2 linked regions of the Bombyx mori genome follow. Each later gene encodes a partner of the first gene's protein in a complex. Links are inferred from orthologs where the notes say so. Each region holds a gene or a part of one and is shown on either strand. Other genes may lie near its edges.

Region 1 (2,867 bases):
GTGGCTTCTGTGCCGGTACACATTTCATCGTCGAACATCAGAGATTATCAGGACTGGGTAAATTTGTTACTTATTTTATATATGTGTTCGGATTAAAAGGGTTCAGGAAACTGGACATATGGAGGCAGAGTATTGCTGGTGTCCTGTAAATATATTTCTATCCTTTATGAATAACTAGCGACCCGCCCTCGCTTCGCTTCCGAAACTGTAATTTATTATTGATTTCTCCACTATTTAATGGATGATGTTATACATATAAACCTTTCTCTTCAATCACTATCTAGTACAAAAAACCGCATCAAAATCCGTTATGTAGTTTTAAAGATTTAAGCATACATAGGGATATAGGGACAGAGAAAGCGACTTTGTTTTATACTATGTACTGATGTTGGAATTACTTTCTCATATTGTATGTTAATTTATATTGAAAAACACAAGTTTCAACTCAACTATGATAAACTCTGCACAAATGCTTAGTGTAGTTGCTTAATTAAAATTTATAATAGTATTCGCTATGTTTTAACATAGATCAAAGGTTGAATTTATTATACAAGTTTTGCATTTCATTGTTAACTATTCCATTTCAGGGTACTGCTTCAGTGCATCTTTACCGCCCATGTTGACTCAAGCTGCCATTTCAGCTTTAGACATTCTGGAGGAAAAACCTTCAATCATAGAAGAGCTCAATGACCGATCTAAGATGATGAATAAGTAAGATGTCTGTTTACTTTTTTATTATCAGACCGCAGTTAAGAACTCCTTACTTACTTACCTTATTCAAGTAAACATTATAACCCTCAAAAAATGTTACCTAATCTTGGAAGTTGTCACAGCCTAAAAGATAAAGATATACTTGTCCAGTATACTTGTATCAAGTTGACAAGTAGGTAGGTATCACTGTTTACATTAAAATCTACAAATAAAGAAGGTCACAAGTGCTTACTAAAAATATCTTCCTGACCCATTAACTGTGCTTTTAGGCACCACAAGCACCGGTCACCGTCCTCGTCGAACTCGTCGCTTGCGACGAAGGGCTCGACGAGCGAATTAACCCACAGACACAGCTCGCTGAGTTTCTCGCCGGATCTTCTCAGTGAGTCGCGTTTCCGATCCGGTGGTAGTTTCTGCGAAGCACTGCTCTTGCTAGGGTCGGTGTTAGCAACGCTCCGGTTTGAGCCCCGTGAGCTCACCTACAAACGTTAGGGTGAAGCAGAAATAGCCTCTCAAGGCTATCAGCATAGGTAGGAATTTTTTTACTAAAAATAACATTGTAAAATAAAAATCATTTGTCAGTGATAGTACATAGCTGTGATTTCGATCTGATGCTTATATGTAAGTAATTTTCATGAAATACCCTCTTTAGAACTTAATGTGTTAACTATTTGATTGTTCTAAGTGTGCCATAAAAAGAACATATTATCACGAAACACAATTTTTTTCATAATAACAAACTATTTGTTAATATTTTCAGGGCTCTTGCTAAGTTAGACCACTACAGATACAGCGGTGATGAGATATCTCCGATCAAACATGTTTACCTCAAGGATGACCTGACTGATCGTCTCAAACATTCCTACTTAAGGAACATTGCTGCTTATTGCTTTGAGAAAGGCGTGGCCTTTGCGGTGTCCGCTTATCTGAGAGACGTCGAACATAACTGTCCCGAACCTTCCATAAGGTTGGTAGCGAGCAGGAAAATCGACAATGAAAACTTAAACTTAATATGCACGCTTTTGGAAACTGCTTACAAAGAGGTCGGACCCAAACCTGATTTGCAACCTGTTCAATAATGCCAAAATAATAGATAATTGTAATTTTATTATTTATTTAAGTTTATATTATTTTTTATATGATTATTACTAGATAATTTTCTACCTTGTTTTGGAAATTATGAAAGCACTGCCAATCTTATTCTTATTATTATTGAACGGTTACTATTCAAACATATAAAAAATGTATGTAATTTTTTTTATTTCTTTACTTAGAAATGTATAATAAAATCGTCAAAGTAAAATAATAATTGCTGGTCCCAAAAAATTAATTAATACAACTTAGATATGTAATGTTTGTGTTGTTATTTTTTAAAATATGTTTTAGATAACTTAAGTTGTATTTTAAAAATTGACATGCTATGTAATTGATATTAATTATAAGACCGTTCAGAAGTAAAAGCTGACATAATAACCCTCTTAAGGCTAAAAACACTTTTCTTTCTCCTAGAATCACATTCCTACTTAAGTTTTAAATAATTAAAATAATAATTATACAGCTTAGAATAATAACATTTGCATTTTGTTGTATTATCATAATATATATAAGTAAAATATATTGTAACACCGATGCCTTAATAAACAATAATATGTTTTAGTAGGACGTTTTATTGAAACATTTAGGACATAATACATAATACCAATGAACAAAAAGTTAAACAATGTTTTTTTCTAATTTAATTAAATATTTCTTGCAATTATAATTATTTAATGTTTTAAGCTTAATTTAACTTGTGATATTTTTGTGTATTTGAATATGGGAAACAAAATTGTGATAAATCAACTGATTATAGATGTGATCATAAGTTAGAGTAAAGGGAAAATCTGCAAACAGCCTTCAGCTACTTTTGTAGTGCGATTCCACTTCGATAAAGCGGCACGACACGAGAACCCTCTCATCGTGGCCGCCGGTAACCACATTCCCGATCCTGCGGAATGGAAATCAGTCGACGTCGCCCAAAACACGTCATCTCGGATCCTCCCGATCCACTAACGGTGCTTTTAGGTACTTCAAGCACCGGTCACGGTTCTCGTCGAACCCGTCGCTTGCGACGAAGGGCTCGGCGAGTAAATTAACTCTCAGACACAGCCCACTGA
Region 2 (4,187 bases), on another chromosome or scaffold:
TGAGATATAAGTTCTAAAGTCTCGGTATAGTTACAACGGCTGGCCCACCCTTCAAACCAAAACTCATTACTGCTTCACAGCAGAAATAGGCAGGGTGGTGGTACCCACCCGTGCGGACTTAAGAGGTCCTACCTACAGTAAGAACATACAAGATACATTCACTTCCACATGTCAGAATAGGTGTTCAGAATATACCGCTTTTTCATATTATACAGTACAATTATCGACACTCCCTGCAAAGTTTCAAAACTCAGTATACCAGATAATTCTGTATTTTCATCAAGTTTATACTTACATTTTTCTTATTTTTACTGTTAATACATTTACACTACATTACAGATATTATTATTATAAATAATAAATTATTTATAGAAAGAAAGTGAAATAAATCATACTGTCTGGATTTATAAGTCAGAATTACATTCACTGATGTGCCAACTTTTTTTTCCTACCTATGCTGATAGCCTTGAGAGTCTATTTCAGCTTCGCCCTAACATGTAGGTGAGCTCACGGGGCTCAAACCGGAGTGTTGCTAACACTGGCCCTAGCAAGAGCAGTGGTTTGCAGAATCTACCACCGGATCGGAATCGCGACCCACTGAGATGATCCGGCGAGAAACTCAGGGGGCTGGGTCTATGGGTTAATTCGCTCGTCGAGCCCGACGGTACACGTCCGAGGTTCGACGAGGGGGCCGGCCAATGTTTGTGGTACCTAAAAGCACCGTTAATGGATCGGGAGGATCCGTAAGGACGTGTCGTGCCAAAAATGCTATTTTATTTGGATTTTCACCAAGCCCCATTACATTTTGTGCAGACTAAAATTATATATATATATTTAAAGGTATTACTGTAATAAAATAAAAATTTAGAAGCGAAATACAAGGCATAAAGAATATTTAACATTTATATCCAATTCCCTTTACTACATTTTGTTTTTATTTATATACCACCTGACCCTAGATTCTAGTACTTAAATATAAGCCTTATCATTAAGAACACATGAGAGCCACAGTAAAAATGTAGTTCTTAATTTAAAAATAAGATAAAACATGCTTATTTCTATTGTTATATCGTACATAAAACAAGATTATGATGAAGTGTAACAATTTCTATGACATGATATCTCCATTCATGATGGAATGATCCCGTGATTCCCCCGCAGTCGTGATATGGCTGATATAGTGATGTAGTAGTTGAAGAACCAGAATAATCCAAAAAGTATTCCAAATACTATATCTGTGTGTTTGTTAAGGAAATTTTGTTTGTTTTTTTAAAATTCTGTTGGTATAAAATATATTTTTTATTTGTTTTTATTGCCCTTGTTGGCCAATGAACATATTGCCCACCTGATGGTGAGTGGTTACCATCGTCAATGGACTCCATAAATGCCAGGGGTAAAGCCAAGCCCCTGTCTGATAAAAAATATTGATACATTATGAATTTTTTTATAGTTAGACTGGTATATGTTTTTACTTAATTTTTGAATGCACTTGATGGATGGAAAATTTATAGCCAAACTTGAGGTTGAAGTCATAATTTTTCTAAATAAAGCTGCTGTTTGATTTTTGTAGCATTATTGTATTTCTACATTGCGGAAGTTAGCACCTAACTTACAACAAATTGTTAATATCAGGAAATCAATAAGAGGATAGATATGGGTGTACGATAAATTACTGAAGAATTATTTAAAACAATGAATTCACAGCAAAATCTATTTTATGATTTTCGAGCATAACTTTATTTTGATTCTCGACTATTAGTCTTTTAATGCTTTCTATCATCTGCAAAAAGACAACTACTAAGTACGCTATATGCTCATGTTAACACAATAGTAAATTAGATTCTTTCCTCAATTTATTCAATATTCTAATCAAATTGACATCTTTTAACTGGAACATGGTCTAAATAATTAGAGGTTCATATGCAGATAGCATTTACATTCATTATCATTGAAAAGGTCATAACTTGCAACATTGAAAATAAGAAACATTTTATTTCTTATGAGTCATGTAAGTCATTAAAAAAAATCACTTAGTTAATAAATTTTACAAAACTAGCACATGTATTAGCTTTTGATAGGCATTAACCCCTAGGGTGCAATAAACTAATTGATTACTGGCCTCTACCTTCTACCTTAGTTTTAATATGGAATATAAAGAATTGGAAGTCATGAAGAACTCATACACCCAAAAACTTTATTCTACATTTCATATTTTGGAATGATTTAATGTAACAAAGGGTTTTTTCCTCTTGTTGATTCTAGTACACTACCATTAAAAGTACTTATTCATCAAACCTAGCTAAGCTGGGAGATGACCATTATCATTCAGTTTTTCGAAACCTTTAAGTAATAACATTAATAAATGTGATTACGTCTATCCTCCTGAGTACATGTCTATCACAGAGTGAGAATTTTCCTAACCTAATTTTGAAAAGTTTTTGTATTTAAATGCTGATATGGTTTTTTTTAACTAAGAAAAGGATACGAATAGCTATTCTTTCCCAGGTTTCCACCATGTATAATTCAGTCGCCAATAGGTATCTAATGTACCAATAACTGATGAATTTCTTTACTTTCTCGATTAAATCCATTTCCTCTATTCACGCTTTTCGTGTTTCGTTCTGTTTAGATATTTTTTGGTTTGACCAGTATGGCACTTTTGAGTTGTAAATGGTTCGAAATTTTTGCCTAGACTGATTAGTCTACTTTTAAGAATTTTCTAAGAAAATCGTTGAAAATTCGAAAATGTAATAGAAACTCCACTGATACAAAACTCAATGATTTTAATTGTCATTGTTACTCAAAAACGAATGTCAATGTCAAACTAGCATTTTTTGGAAAATATATGGCCTCGTAACGAGACTTTTAAGCCAAGTCTTCTTTTCTTAAATTCAATTATTATTAAGAAAAATGAGATGAAGTTTGAGACTTTAATTGGTTGGGATAACTGGGATAAATGAGACGAGATGGGGTGAAATAATTTTTCAGTCATATGGTGGCTATTTACTGAGATTTTTTCAGTGAAATTTTTGGAAGAGCCCTCGATGATACATCCAGCTGCTTTGTTTCATTTTCTCACATGTGTGCACTCTCATATTTTTTAGATTTAATTTCAAAATTTAGACCAAGCCCCTTTTTTCCGCTTATTTTTTTTTTTAATTTATGAAGTTCCTCTTTGTATTTATTAATCATGATAATTGAAGACTATAAAATATACTACCCAGCGACGATGGCATTGCAAGAATGCTGGCATTGAAAGATGCGATTAACATATTCAAACTAAAAGGAGTAACTAGACGTGTGTTGATGAGGTTGAGGAGAGCGGCTAATTGAGAAAGGGAAGCGGAAAGTGGATTTAGGAGTTGCTATCGCTCTCTTTCCTCTCTCTTCAATCGGTCCCTCATTGCTGAGGATCGTGACTCTGTTTGATTCCGTCAACTAGCTGTCTCCATCGATCCCGTTCTGTAGCTTGGTAGAGTCCGTCTCTGACAGGTATTTTTAGGTCTTCTGCTATTTGATCCGACCATTGTTTGGGACCTCTACCCCTGGGCCTTTTTCCCTCGATTCTACCGGTCACCACAAGGCGTCCCAAATTGCTGGTATCCCTGCGTGCAATCTCTCTCTTTTACTACTGCATAATAATATCCATAAACGAACACACGCTTCACCCGATGTTAGGTAGTTAGTATTTAGTGATTCGTAGTTTAAAAAAAGGCTAGTTCTTTGTCCAGACAACATTATCCTGCTTTTATCATTTCTTGCCACCCACCTTGAGATATAAGTTCTAAGGTCTCAGTATAGTTACAACGGCTGCCGGCTTCAAGCCGAAAGGCATTACTGCTTCACGGCAGAAATAGGCGGGGTGGTGGTACCTACCCGTGCGGACTCACATGAGGTCCTACCACCAGTAAAGTTGTTGCTCTGCAAAAAGTTATTATATTAACTTATTTCTACACTTAACAATTATTATGATTATTTTCGATCCTGCAAAGAGAAACAACATTGAAGCTATTGCTTCAATATTTAAACCTTTTTTTAAATCTGCAAGTTTTTTAATTTCCTAAGAAAGCACGTTAACTTTTGAATGTAACAAAGCAAGAGAGCAATTCTAATTATAGAATGAACATAGCTTCCACCATAGATAATAAATACTATTATGATAGTCGAAGCTAATGCGCGGGGAATTT

What was found. The genes of interacting proteins can lie anywhere in the genome.
Region 2: serine palmitoyltransferase 1 (region 1) and uncharacterized protein LOC101740127 share a complex: the UniProt entries of both Homo sapiens proteins name them as parts of the serine palmitoyltransferase (SPT) complex. The link is inferred for Bombyx mori from reciprocal best matches to the Homo sapiens genes SPTLC1 and SPTSSA.

The regions. Positions count from the first base shown.
Region 1 is NC_085117.1:6,882,290-6,885,156, reverse strand, and holds the end of serine palmitoyltransferase 1, read left to right. Parts: coding exon 1-57; intron 58-587; coding exon 588-711; intron 712-1,471; coding exon 1,472-1,790; 3' UTR 1,791-2,367; downstream 2,368-2,867. UniProt on the Homo sapiens protein: Component of the serine palmitoyltransferase multisubunit enzyme (SPT) that catalyzes the initial and rate-limiting step in sphingolipid biosynthesis by condensing L-serine and activated acyl-CoA (most commonly palmitoyl-CoA) to form long-chain bases.
Region 2 is NC_085130.1:2,444,483-2,448,669, forward strand, and holds the start of uncharacterized protein LOC101740127, read right to left. Parts: upstream 2,801-4,187; 5' UTR 2,592-2,800; coding exon 2,486-2,591; intron 1,236-2,485; coding exon 1,129-1,235; 3' UTR 1-1,128. UniProt on the Homo sapiens protein: Component of the serine palmitoyltransferase multisubunit enzyme (SPT) that catalyzes the initial and rate-limiting step in sphingolipid biosynthesis by condensing L-serine and activated acyl-CoA (most commonly palmitoyl-CoA) to form long-chain bases.